Linked DNA regions of Callithrix jacchus. The protein of the gene in region 1 interacts with the protein of each later gene in a biochemical or structural test. Links are inferred from orthologs where the notes say so. Each region holds a gene or a part of one and is shown in the gene's direction. Other genes may lie near its edges.

The links. The genes of interacting proteins can lie anywhere in the genome.
Region 2: of the proteins of SIK2 (region 1) and CRTC2, one has a biochemical effect on the other in vitro, tested with the Homo sapiens proteins (2 studies listed by BioGRID). The link is inferred for Callithrix jacchus from reciprocal best matches to the Homo sapiens genes SIK2 and CRTC2.
Region 3: of the proteins of SIK2 (region 1) and HDAC5, one has a biochemical effect on the other in vitro, tested with the Homo sapiens proteins (2 studies listed by BioGRID). The link is inferred for Callithrix jacchus from reciprocal best matches to the Homo sapiens genes SIK2 and HDAC5.

Annotation. Positions count from the first base shown.
Region 1 is NC_133511.1:11,417,019-11,421,099, forward strand, and holds part of SIK2 (serine/threonine-protein kinase SIK2), read left to right. Parts: intron 1-2,286; coding exon 2,287-2,515; intron 2,516-2,985; coding exon 2,986-3,270; intron 3,271-3,401; coding exon 3,402-3,565; intron 3,566-4,081. UniProt on the Homo sapiens protein: Serine/threonine-protein kinase that plays a role in many biological processes such as fatty acid oxidation, autophagy, immune response or glucose metabolism.
Region 2 is NC_133519.1:14,384,257-14,388,990, reverse strand, and holds the start of CRTC2 (CREB-regulated transcription coactivator 2), read left to right. Parts: upstream 1-1,593; 5' UTR 1,594-1,728; coding exon 1,729-1,881; intron 1,882-4,734. Other genes in the region: SLC39A1 (zinc transporter ZIP1), read left to right, coding at 1-163. UniProt on the Homo sapiens protein: Transcriptional coactivator for CREB1 which activates transcription through both consensus and variant cAMP response element (CRE) sites.
Region 3 is NC_133506.1:70,958,062-70,962,854, reverse strand, and holds the start of HDAC5 (histone deacetylase 5), read left to right. Parts: upstream 1-1,652; 5' UTR 1,653-2,012; coding exon 2,013-2,163; intron 2,164-2,582; coding exon of another isoform or gene 2,583-2,812; exon of another isoform or gene 2,813-2,945; intron 2,946-3,807; coding exon of another isoform or gene 3,808-3,860; exon of another isoform or gene 3,861-4,033; intron 4,034-4,793. Other genes in the region: uncharacterized protein LOC118153996, read right to left, coding at 2,583-2,812. UniProt on the Homo sapiens protein: Responsible for the deacetylation of lysine residues on the N-terminal part of the core histones (H2A, H2B, H3 and H4).

The DNA of each region.
Region 1 (4,081 bases):
CTTTTACACTGTTGATGGGAGTGTAAATTAGTTCAATCATTGTGGAAGACAGTGTGGCAATTCCTCAAAGATCTAGAAGCAGAAATCCCATTTGACCCAGCAGTCCCATTGCTGGGTATATACCCAAAGGAATATAACTCATTCTATTATAAAGACACGTGCATGAGTCTGTTCGTTGCAGCACTACTCTTAAGAGCAAAAACATGGAATCAACCCAAATGCTCATCAATGATAGACTGGGTAAAGAAAATGTGGCACATATACGCTATGGAATACTATGCAGCCATGGAAAGGAATGAGATCATGTCCTCTGCAGGGACATGGTTGGAGCTGGAAGCCATCAGTAAACTAATGCGGGAACAGAAAGCCAAACACATGTTCTCACATATAAGTGGGAGCTGAATGGACACATGGAGGGCAACAACACAAACTGGGGCCTGTTAGGGGGGGCGGGGGAGGGAGAGCATCAGGAAGAATAGCTAATGCATGCCAGGCTTCATACCTAGGTGATGGGTTGATAGGTGCAGCAAACCACCATGGCACACGTTTACCTATGTAACAAACCTGCACATCCTGCAGCTATACCCTGGAAGTTAAAAGTTGAAGGAGGAGGAAAAAGAAAGAACCTGCTTGTATGGCTTATCCTATAAGAAATGTCTGGTAAAATTTTGATGGAGGCTGTGAGTGTAAGGATGCTCAGTAGATAGTGACTGAATGATCTTTTCTCTGCTGGTTTATTCATTTCATCTCATACTCATTCTTGGCTAGTTTTAGAAAATTATATTAGTACACAGTTAAGGAGCTTAGAAGTATGAATGTAAGTTCTCAAATAGCCATTCTTTCTTACAGGGAAACTATTAAGTTTAGTCAAAAAGGAAAATTTATCTGGGGAAGGACCAAGGAAAGAGTAAGAGTTGCTGGCCAAGTTTCAGAGTTTTGCTTTCTGCTGCCATGGGGAAGGTTGGCCAGTCTGGGAAGGAAGCATCTGCCATTCTTCCTCTTAAATGACCGCTTATCACTTTAAAACCCTGTTATGCATTAGCCACCTTACCCAAGTGAGGGCTGGAGCCCAGAACGGATGTTATGGAATAACCCTCCCCTCCCTGCAGCAAACAAAGATCTGAGTCACCCAAGTCTCCTTCTCCAAATAAAGGGCCTCGCAGTGCCTTCAGATTGGCTGCCGTATGAGGGAAGTTTCCTGTGTGTCTGGCAAAGGGAAACCCCATGCCCCCTCTCACATACGTGAGCCTCTCCTGCTTCCAAAGGAAACAATAGCTCTACCCAGTGTTTTCCAGGTGAAAGTGCTGCTTAGAACTGAGTGTCCTTATGACTGGCTGTTCCTGAGCAGCTATTCATAGGAGAAAATGGATTGATTTCCACGGGGGAATAGTTAAGGTAATGAGGTAAATAATTACCTCCTCACAGGGGCTTTTACCAGCCAGAACTTGCAACCACAACCCCACCCCCTTTCCTGTTCTGCCTTCCATTAGGCGGTTTGCATGGCAACTGCATGGGAAGGGCGAGTGCTTTTAGGAGGGGCTGTGCTGCGCTCACCCCTGTGGGATAGGAACCATTGATAATGTGTGTGTTGCTGGAGGAGACAGAATTCAGTGCACCGGGGCTTATTAGCCTCTGCTGGAATTTGGGGCCAGTGAGCCATTTGTTACTCTGCAATGAAAGGCTTCGGCTGTCTGCCACTGGAATTTTTTTTCAATCCTTTTTGTGGTATCAGTCTGTCTATATAGAATTTTTACTTTCCATTCCTCAGGCACATAGAACCAATTAAAGACTAAATCAAATGGGCAGGCACTTAAATTATGAACATAAAAGTATTTCTAAAACCTTCTAGTATGCTTATAGTTGAAAAACAGAAGAATGTTGGTGACTACCCCTTTTTTTTTTAGCAATGAGCCATGTAGTTAAAAAAAAAAATCTCATCTTTCCTCTCTTCATTTCCCTTATTTAAAAAAAAAATAACTGGTAGGCCTCAAAGTAATATACCCCTGTTCTTCTGGAAACCACTAAAAAAGTTGTTTATTGTTGTAATGATGACTCAGAGAAACCTGGGCAGCAGTGCCAGTTCGGGTCATAACAGGCTTCTGTCTCTGAGTCCTGCAGTTGACTTGCCTTCACTTCTAATCTGTGTGTTGTCATTCATAATAAACATGTGCATTTTAAAATATTTTACTTAATTTCTAATTTGCCACAAGTCTTGACATGTTTTCCTCTCTGGATTTTTCTGTCTCAGTGGTACAGAAACTGAGTTTCCTCTCTCCTGGCGTGTAGGTAAATGGCTGTCTGCTTGACCCCGTGCCTCCTGTCCTGGTACGGAAGGGGTGCCAGTCACTTCCCAGCAACATGATGGAGACCTCCATTGACGAAGGGCTGGAGACAGAAGGAGAGGCTGAGGAAGACCCCACTCATGCCTTCGAGGCATTTCAGTCCACGCGCAGTGGGCAAAGACGGCACACTCTGTCAGAAGTGACCAATCAGTTGGTCATGATGCCTGGGGCAGGTACAGTAGAGAGGCGACACCAGGTTGAGTCTCCATGGTGTCATCTCATACTCCAGTCACCAGCAAGTGGTCATGCTGCCAGCCAACTCCTAGAGTTGAGTCGCTAGTTTATTCCTTTATGGAGCAGATTCAGCAGGTGTAGCAGACCCAGACTGGCAGCAGCTATCAAAGGTGATTGAAATGTCTGAGTTGGCTCCCGTAGCCCCCAGGATTCGTCTGGGTGCTGTATGATTCATCGGGGACTCTGCTCTTTTGGAGTGGCAGAGATCTTACAGATGCCACTTCTGGAGTATTTTCCCCGCTAAACTTGAAGATGACTAAGTTGGCCAGTAAAAAGGTTCTGGAAAGATGTTTTGATTGGAGATTAAGGACATGGTAATTGTCAAGACTCAAGCTGGTTATGCTTTGTACCCTATGTTCCAAGAAGATACTGTTGCTGTTGGTTTTATCTGTTCTGTTTTCTCTTAAAGGGAAAATTTTCTCCGTGAACGACAGCCCCTCCCTTGACAGTGTGGACTCAGAGTACGATATGGGGTCTGTTCAGAGGGACCTGAACTTCCTGGAGGATAACCCTTCCCTTAAGGACATCATGTTAACCAATCAGCCCTCACCCCGCGTGACATCTCCCTTCATAAGCCTCAGACCTACCAACCCAGCCATGCAGGCTCTGAGCTCCCAGAAGCGAGAGGTCCACAACAGGTCTCCAGTGAGCTTCAGAGAGGGCCGCAGAGCATCAGATACCTCCCTCACCCAAGGTAGCCCTTCCTCCTCTGCCTTTTGAAACTTGCGTCGTGTGGGGGGTTTCTTGCCACGTTGGTGTGATCACCTGTGATCACTGAAAGGCCTTGTTTTATTTAAACTGTTTGATCTTTGTACTTTCTTTCAGGAATTGTAGCATTTAGACAACATCTTCAGAATCTGGCTAGAACCAAAGGAATTCTAGAGTTGAACAAAGTGCAGCTGCTGTATGAACAGATAGGACCAGAGGCAGACCCTAACCTGGCACCCACAGCTCCTCAGCTCCAGGACCCTGCTAGCAGCTGCCCTCAGGTGGGTACCTTGGGCCCTTTCCTTGATGGCTCTGTGAGGATGAGGTATGAGTCTGTCCTGAAGATGGTCATTTTCACTTTGAGGATTTCCTCCAGTCCTGGAGCAAACAGATTCTTTGGGAAAAACCACAGCTTCTTTGGTCAGTGGACGAGTTCAACCTATCCTTGCTGCTCCCAAGTATTCGATACCACATGGAGGCCTGAACAAGCTGTTTTTGGCTCACAGGGCAGAGTACAGATGAGTGACCTCTTAGAGTCGCCCTTGAACTCCCCGTCCCCGCCACACATGCACAAATGAAGAATAATGAACTGCACCCACATGAGAAGCTTCTCACCACTACTTTTGATGTGGTGTTACTTTAGTAAATATTACAAGTGGATTATTCAGACTAAAAATACAATACTGCTACTTATCTGGTTTTATTTTGAGCCTATTTTCAGTGCATCCAAGAGGATTATAGTTCAAGGCCCACATGAAGGCAATGGCCTCCTGGCGACACCAAGAGCCTTTGCTCTA
Region 2 (4,734 bases), on another chromosome or scaffold:
CCAGTCTGTGCTAGAGGGCATGGCGGCTGGCACCTTTCTCTATATCACCTTTCTGGAAATCCTGCCCCAGGAGCTGGCCAGTTCTGAGCAAAGGATCCTCAAGGTCATTCTGCTCCTAGCAGGCTTTGCTCTGCTCACTGGCCTGCTCTTCATCCAAATCTAGGGGGCTTCAAGAGAGGGGCAGGGGAGATTGATGATCACGTGCCCCTGTTCTCCCTTCCCTCCCCCAGTGTGTGGGGAATAGGAAGGAATGGGGAAGGGAAGTACTGAGGACCAAAAAGTTCTCTGGGAGCTAAAGATAGAGCCTTTGGGGCTATCTGACTAATGAGAGGGAAGTGGGCAGACAAGAGGCTGGCCCCAGTCCCAAGGAACAAGAGATGGTCCAAGTCGGTAGAGACAGGATCAGGGGACATTAGGATTGGGGAAGACACTTGACTACTAGAATCAGAGGTTGGACACTATACATAAGGACAGGCTGACATGGGAGGCTGGAGATGGGCATCAGCTGCTGTGGGACGGGTACGGAGAGGTCATAAACCTAGAGTCAGTGTCCTGTTGATCCTAGCCCATTTCAGCACCCTGCCACTTGGAGTGGAACCCTCCTATTTTTCTTAGCTCCTACCCTCATATCTATTTCCCTTTTCCCGTCTCCCAGGGGACTAGTGCCAAATGGTCTTTCCCTGCCAATTTTGGTATCTTCTCTGACCTCCAGTCGTGCTTACTCCTCTATTTTTAAAGTGCCAAACATCCCCTCCCTCTTTCTCAAAGCACAGTAATGTGGCACTGAGCCCTACCCAGCACCTCAGTGAAGGGGGCCGGCTTGTTCTTTATTTTGGTCCAAGATCCTGGGGTAGGGCAGAAATATTTGCTACGCTGGGGTAGGGGGAAGGTTGGAAAGCTGCAGCCACCTACTGCTGCTGTACCCTAGGAATATGGGACATGGACACGGTGCCCCATGCCCAGATGATAAACACTGAGCTGCCAAAACATTTTTTTAAATATACTCGAGCCCAAGGGGGAAGGGCAATGCCTACCCCCAGGGTTATTTTTTGGGAGGGAGGGCTGTGTATTCTTTAGAATCTATTTTATTAACTGACCTGTTTCCCAAATAAAAGATGTTTCTAGACATCTGTACAGTATCTGACTCATTTTTCTTGGGAAAGGGGTGGGCATGTGGCCAGCCTGAGAGGGTCTGAGTCCCAGATGTTTCCAGCTGTTGTAAGATTTTTGTTCTAATTTTCACTCAGGTTCCGATAGTGCCCTTCCCTGAAAGATGACCAAATGTTTCCTCCTTTGTGTCTTGGTACTTCTCTCCCGTTCTCCACCCCTCCCCTCCCCTTCTCTTTCCTCTACCTTTCCTCCTCCCTAATCCCTCTCCCCTTTGCCTTCGTAGGCTCAGGACTAACTTAGAACTACTCTTCCCAGCTTGCCTCTCGCAGGGAGTAGCCGAGAGGGTGGAGCGAAGTTCCCAGTTCCCGGAGTCAGGCGGGCTGCTGGGAAATGAAGTCCGTTTCCTTCCGGTGCCGTGTGACTGGGGACGTGAAGGAGTCTCGTAAACAAACTGCAATTCCCGGCGGCCCCCGCGCGCAACAGGTCAGGGCTAGGCTGGGGCCGGGTTCGCGGTGCTAGCTGAGGCGGCGGTGGCTACGGCTGGAAGAGCCGGGCCGGAGCCGCGGCAGAGGCCGCGGCTGGTACTGAGAGGGTGGCAGGGAGGGACGGAGGAGGAAGATGGCGACGTCGGGGGCGAACGGGCCTGGCTCGGCCACATCCTCGGCTTCCAATCCGCGCAAATTTAGTGAGAAGATCGCGCTGCAGAAGCAGCGTCAGGCCGAGGAGACGGCGGCCTTCGAGGAGGTGATGATGGACATCGGCTCCACCCGGGTGAGGGGCCGCGCCGGGGTGCCGAACAGAGCTGAGCAGTTACGGAGCAGAGACCGGAGAGGCGGGGCGGGGGCGGGCGCCGCAGCCGAGTAGGCGGAACGGGGCAGGGGCCGCTGGCGAAGGCCGAGGGGCCGGAAGACGGATTTTGCCGGGGGAGACCGAAACTCCGGAGAGGTTGGGAGCGTAGAGTCGCCTGGGGGCCGAGTACGTGAGGCGGGAGTGGGCGGAGAGGGGAGACGGTCGCCTGAAGTCTGGCGGAGGTAGGAGGTGAGTGGTCCTTGTGCATCCCTGACGGAGTCCCATCGAGGACACCACTGAAGCATGCCTGCTATTGGGGTATGGCCTGGGAGGAGGACTGCTTGTCTCTAATCTGGCTCCTCTGAGTTTGTGATCTTCTCCAGACTGGTCCCTCTGCCCTACTATTGTGCTACTTTTCCCGCTTTGTGCCCCTGGGAAAGGACCCTTTGAGTGGTTTGAACGAGAGGGGCTGTGTATAGTGGGGCAGGAAGTCCCCTCCAGCGTCCCGTCCTTTTGCTTCCTTTTTCAAATACTTCCTGTGGTTTCCTGACGTGAATGAAGGTGAGGTTCATCGTTTGGTGTTTTGCCTGGCATCCTTGGAGGAGAGGTAGGGTTTTGAATCCTGTATAAAACTGGTAACCGTTCGACCTTAAGTCGTGTGGCACTCTGGTTTGGTGAGCTTTCTAGGGAGGTGGCTGTTTTATGGGTCAGTGTGTAGGGTGCCTTGGAGAGTCTTCTATTTGTAGGGAATATTCATTCCTAGGAAGTTCTTGAAAGAACTTTCAGGCCTCTGCCAGACTGCCTCTGAAGCCCCCGTGGCCTTGGTTTGTTGCTTCCCAAGGCTGGATGTCAGAGGGAGCCAAGGATGAGAGTCTGCCTATGTGGTATGCTATCTTAATTTAGGGACACATTCTTCTAAAAAACAGTAGGTGAGGATGTTGCAGTGATTCCTCACGGCTGAGAGCTAGAAGGAATTTAAGGGTTGGTGGTGGAACATTATTACATCTCCAGCCTTTTTCTGCTGGTCTGACTGTGTCGCATCTATGACTGACCCTGGTTGTATTTTTGTGTGTATGTCCCTTGACTGTTAGTCTTTTGTTGTTGTTGTTTCCCCTTTGAGTCTCTTGGGACCATGTGCCCTAGTTTGTGGGAGTCAGAAGTTGGATGGAGAGGCAAATCTGGGGTGTGTCTGTGCACGCATTTGCACACTTACATGCATGCATGTGCATAACCCACTGTAACCACAGTGAGGATTAATATTTAACTGTAGACTGCTCCCCTTTAGGAGCTTTCCATCATGTTGGGGACAGACAGGAAGATGGGAGGGAGGCTGATCTTGATAGCATGAGGCCCTGCCCTGCGGACTGTGATTCTAGCAGAGGCATGGTGGATTCTTAGGGCTCCTGTGTGCAAAGAAAGGCTGTGTGAAACTCAAAGCTGGGGCTTCTCTTTACAGTGCCTTGATCTCTTAAAAGGCCCCTTCTACCCACCTTGCTCCTGCTGGTTAATTTCTCATCTACACAGAAAAGTCTAGTGGGTATACATGGCCAGGGGACCCAAAAGTCTTGAGCTAGGGACTAGAGATCAGGGACTCAGCCTGTTATCCGGTCAGGTGGGAGGGCTCATTTGAGATAGATATGGCCATTGGGGGCTATACCACTGAGAGACAGGGGTTGCCACGTATGTTATTAGTGGTCTTAAAGTGGCCCAGAGGTCAGCGCAGTACCCACTAAACTCACGAGGCTGACCTCCTGGGACAGAAAGTCAGTTCTGTTGTTGGTTTCTGTACAAGAGTGTGACCCTGAAAGCTCTTAGAACTCCCCCCTCCTCAGCTGCCCTCCCCATGGCCTTGCCCTGGGCCTGTTGATTTGATTGCTGGCAGGGCCTGAGCCTTGGAAATAGATGCTCGCCTCTCACAGAGATAGGACATCTGTACACAGACTAAATTCATGCCGGGCTGTCTTACATCTATGCCGGACATATCTCCCCAAAGTGAGGATGAGACCAGGAAGATGGCTCGGCCCATACTGGAGTGGCCTACTGCTCTCTCTCCCACCCTCCTTCTCCAGGCTTCCCTGCCAATTCAGGAGCCTCAGGATTCAATGGAAGAATGCCCCTTGGTTTTGGTGCTGTTTTCCAGCTAGGAGAGCTGTCATTCCTTGGTTGTTCTAGTTTAGGAGGTGCAGGCTTTGTGTGGCCTTCCTGAGGCTGGGCAAGTGGCAGAGCCCAGAAGCCTCTGCTCTCCAGAGTGGGAAGGAATGAGTCTGGCAGTAATGGCTCTGTGACATCCATCTGTGGCCTTCCTCTTAATTTCAGAATTAGTCCTGGACACATCTGGAAAGAAAGCACAGGTTCCTAATAGGCACTCCCCCTTGTGAGTAGCCCCGGGGCTCCTGGCAGCCCCCTCAGGGACTGTGCTTAGACTTATGCCAAATGAGACAGGCCCTGAGCAGCAGAATATCTGGCTCTGCCTGGCAGGGTGATATCAAGCAGTAGTGATATCACCGACGAGGGCAGTTTGCAGATGGGCTCTGGTGGGTTATTTGCACCAAATCTCAGGAGACCTTTCAGACTCCAACACTGGCCTTTTTTTGGCAGATTATTTCCTCTTTTTTTTTTTTTTTTTGAGCCAGAGTGTCGCTCTTGTTGCCCAGGCTGAAGTGCAATGGAGTGATCTTGGCTCACCACAACCTCCACCTCCCAGGTTCAAGTAATTCTCCTGCCTTGGCCTCCCGAGTAACTGGGATTACAGGCATGCACCACCAAGCCTGGCTAATTGTGTATTTTTAGTAGAAATGGGGTTTCTTCATGTTGGTCAGGCTGGTCTCAAACTTC
Region 3 (4,793 bases), on another chromosome or scaffold:
TCTGAGGGAGTACTGCTCCATTGTCTTTTTCTAGAATCTGCCTTGGCTTCAAAGCTGCAGCTCCAGAGCCCTGTTTCTTTCCTGGTCCACCACTGGGTACCCCCTGGCAACATATACATCTTGCCAGTCTAGGGCCTGGCAAACCCTGCCTCTGCCTATAGGTGTGGTCCCCCAATCCTCCTACTCCCAATCTGAGGGCAGGGGACCCCTTTGCCATCCCTGACTGGTGGAAGCTGGCTGGGAAATTGGGCTCCAGGAGCCATAGCCACTGTGTCCTTGGTTGGCCAGCTCCTCTTGGGCTCCCAACAAGAGGGTGAGGTCATCCAGTCCAGAGAGAGGACAGGTGTCCCTGGCTCCATGCCTGGAGTGGGGGGCAAGGAGGGGGCTCCAAAATAGCAACTGTGACATCAGGAAGAGGGAGGGGGATGCAGACACAGGAATAACCAGGCTATTAAAAGGCTCTAGTGAGGTCAGGGGGCCAAGTGGGATCTCTGTACCTGTGGGAGCACAACCTGAGGAGAAGGGGCAGGCCAGCAGTGGGGAGGGCATGGGAGTGGCACGGGTCCTCACAGTGCACCAGCCCTAGGACCCAGGGAGCAGAGCCTATGCTGCCAGGCCTGAGTCTGGCTGGTGGGGAATGGCTGGATGCTGAAAGACTACTGACTCTTCCTAGCGAGGCACCAACCTCAAGTCTCTTCCTACTTGAGCACAGGGTTTATTGTACCTGTTCATAGAAACCCTGGGAAATGGGAGGCAGTGTGGTGTGGTGGGTCGAGCTCAGACTTGAGTCTCGGACATCCCAGCCCTGTCATCTAAGCAGCTGTATGACCCAGGGTGAGTGACCATCTCCCTGTGCCTCAGTTTTCCCTTCTGTGCCTCTCTCCCAAAGTCACCATGCAGAATGAGATGATGTATGTGATGTTCTTAGCACCACACCTGGCACATGGATAGGGAGGAGCTACCTGTGCTGCGAGAATGGGCAGGTGTTCCCTGGTTCGCTTTCCCAGGCTTGGGGTGAGGAAAGGGGACCAGGGAACCCCTGTCTGCCCAGGAAGAATATCCCTACCCCCTAGAAAGAAGCTGAGGCTGAGCAGCCTCTGGAGGCGACACTCCAGAATGAGTGGGAGGGAGCTGCCATTGGCAGGTGTTTGGGGGTCTCTCTGCTGGTTGAAGGACTGAGGAGGCACTCCATTCCTCAGCTTTGTGGGAGGGTAGAATAAGCAAACCTCCATGGGCTGTTAGAACTCCAGGGAAGTTGCCTGTCTGCCAGCCTCTCCCAGACCCTTTCTATTCCTTTACCTGGTCTGGAAGGCAAGAGGGCAGATGGAGGCTTGAGTCTGGCTTCTTGGTCTCTGTCCCCTGGCTTGCTTGCCAAAAGTAGCAGTCAGAGCCGCTCCCAGATGCATGGGTACCCCAGCCAGCGCCCTTCCCCAGCCCAGCCTCTGGCCACCTATCGCTATGGCCTTGGCCCTGAGTGCAGGCCCTCCCCCGTTCCCATCCCCCTCGCCTGGCGCTTCCTCCTGGGGTAGAACCGCCTCCCCCCCATGGGGCCTCCTGGCAGCCGGCCCGCAGCTCCCTGAGCATGCTCCACCTATTTATAGACAGGGCCCTCCCCCAACTGCTATTTCAGTCTCCTGCCAGCTGCCGGCGGTGGCTCATTCGGGAAGGAGGAGCAGGGAGCCGGCCCAGAGCTGTCACCCAGGATTGGGAGGGAACACAGAGAGCCCGCCTGCCCGCTGAGCTCCCCTTCCTGTCCCAAGTGCTCAGCCATACCCCAGCTCCCGGGAACCAAGGAAAGGCTGGTGGTCGGATACCCCTTTAGAGCAGAGCTGGGCCTGCAGCTCTTGGGCCTCCCTGCCCCTCCTGCCGTCAGGAGTGCCCAGGCCGGATGAGGCACTTCCCCACAGTACGCGTCCCATTGGCAGTGGCCTGAGGGAACCCCTGCACAGTGCGGGCCACCTGACCACCTTTCCTTGGGCTGGCTTTCCGCCTCTGGCGGTCCCCTCCCTGGCATGCTGCTGGTGCCCAAGGCTCAGGGGCTCGTGGAGATGCTGCAGACCATCTATGAGACAGAATCCTGTTTCTCAGCAGATGGGATGTCAGGCCGGGAACCATCCTTGGAAATCCTGCCTCGGACTTCTCTGCACAGCATCCCTGTGACAGGTAAGTGCCTTGGTGTCCCTGCCTGCCCTCTGTCATTGGGTATCCTTGTCCCTGGGCTGAGCATCTGGCTCCGAGCCTTGTGCAGATAGCATCCTGTGTAGATCTGTCTTGAGAGTTTCACTGAGAATACACAGGGCTGGGGGATCCCTGCTCAGAGAGGCCCCTGCCCTCCCTGCCCAGAGCCTGCTGCTCCCCTGTGCCCTGCAGCTGTACTCTGCTGCTTCACTTCCAGTCACTTTGGCCTCTGGCAGGGTCAGCATCTGTTGCTAGGGGCTGGGGGTTACTGGAGGATCCTGGCCTAGTTGGCAGTGTGGTCAGAGGGGAGGAAGTGGGTCAGTGACCCGCCTCCTTGCTGCCCGCTCCCCAGGTTTGGGCAAGGGAAGAAGGCGTAGCTAGGTGTCCACAGGAATAAAGCTTACCCCGGCTCCTCTGGCTTGGTTCTTAGGGCTAGAGCATCAAGTCCAGTAACTTCCGCCAAGTCCCCAGCCAGGAGTCTCCTGAGAATCAGACACTTGGGGAGGCTTGGTATAGTTGTGATGGAGTTAGGCAGAGGCTGGCAGCTCGGATATTGAGGGGCTTGGCTGCCTTCGCATCTAGCTGGCTCCCGATATCGCTCCTCTCCCCAGGTCTGGGTTGATTCCCGTGTCATGAGGATGAAGAGGTATTACTCTGGCTCAGATGGGGTTAGGACCCCCTAATCCTGCCACCCTCTCAGCAGTAACCTTTTTTGCCTCTTGGCTAGGGGTGGGGTCCCCCAGAGCTGGGCTACTCCTTCCCTCACTCCCGGCAACCTTTCGGCAGCATCAAGCCTTTCTGGCACAGCCTCCCCACCAGGCCGGCACCACAAGATGCTTCTTCCAGGGAGGGGCCTGCTGGACCCATGCCTGCTTGGCCCCTCCTGGTAGTGGCTTGGCATTCAAGTGTGGGTGACTATGTGTGTGCACGTGTGAATGGGGAGTCTTTGCCTATGGATATGTGGGAGTGCATCCCAAGCTTCGAATTGGAAGGTGGGAACTGTGTGCCTCTGCAGGTCCCTGTGATTTGGCTCTGAGCTGCCCAGGGATAATGTTGCAGTGCGACTTGGATGTGTCAGAGAATAAATGTTTCGGGAGGATTCAGAAGATCTTTGGAACATGGCCTATCATCTTCCTGAGCAGGGATACCCCTGCAGTGTTCTCACGTAGGGGCATGGCCCTGGAGACTAGCCCTGCAGGGTATCCATGCAGGCCCCGGGGATAGGGGCCTTACCCTGGGGCCAGCCCTGTAGGCTGGGGCTGGGATGAGGGTGTAACCTTGAGGACCAGCTCTACTGTGTACCCATGAAGTCCCGTGAGGTAAGGGCATATGCCTGGGAGCCAGCTCCATAGGCCCCTGGGATAAGGAATAAACCCAGAGGGCTGGTTCTTATCCTGGTCTGGAGTCCACAGGGTCAGCGAAAGACCCTGCCTGCTTGCCCCTAGTCCATGGCCTCCGGGACTTAAGGTGGTCTCTTGGAAGGCAGAATAATCACGGAGCATTTGCTTGGGGCAGCTCTACCCTGTGTGGCTTATCAGGTCCACCCATCCTGTCCTGTCCCCTCCATTCCTTGCTACTAGCAGCAGCCAGCAGTTGGCCCAGAGTTTCCTCCTTGGCTTGTTTACTCACCTCTTTTCAGACTGTACCCCAGAAACCTCGAAGGCTGGACCCTGCTCTCTCATCCCATCCCTAAGCCTGGCTGCCCCTGCATGGACCCCCAGGCACCTCCTCTCTCCAGATGCCTGTCTCCCCACACCAGCCGATGTGGGGGGTGGACCAAGCCTTCTGAGTGGTGGCTTGCTCCATGCTGGCAGGAGGGAGGCGTGAGTCACCTCAGCGGCTCGGGGAGAGGGCTAAGAATGTTCCCCCTGCGCAGCTCTGATGCTGTGTCTGTGACGCGGCTAGGGACAGATATAGGCCTGGAGCTCGGCTGCCTTGTTTTTTTTTTTTTTTTTTTTGGACTCTGGAATGTAAATAGATGTTTCAAATAGAAACACTTTAACCTTTGGGTTAAAAAAAATCCACCCCGGATAAACACGGCCATGAGGGCCCGGGCAGCCTGGTGTTTCCCTCCCCACCCCCTCTCCCCGTCTCTTGATCGGTCTCCAGACAGGATGCAAGAGCCTGGGGCTGAAAAAGCAGGTGTCCAGGGATGCTTCTTTGGACAGTGTGAATTGCACAGGCCTCCCAAGGGGTTGGGGTAAGGGGCTTTTGAGGGTACGCCTGCCTGCCACCTCCAGCAGCATCTTGGAACCCTATTTTAGGGACAGCCTTTGCTCTCTGGGCTGTCTTGGTTGCTGCCATTGCACAGCACCTAGCACAGTGCCTGGCACATGGATGAATGAATGTCGCATGGGGAGGGCTGGAGTCCAGGATTGCTGGCAGGATTCCTGGGCTCTATTCTGGGGCTCGGACCTCTAGGTGAATAGAGATAGCTTTAGTGAGTCACCCAGCGGGTGAGACAGAGTCTTAACCTACTGAAGGATGGGGCCACTTCGCTGTTCTTTCTTGAAGATGGGGCCCGATCTCAGCATCCGCTCTTGGTCATCAGAGGTCTCCCTTGATGGGTGAGGTATCTGCCTGGCCACCCTGCCACAGCCCCCCAGTTCACAGTG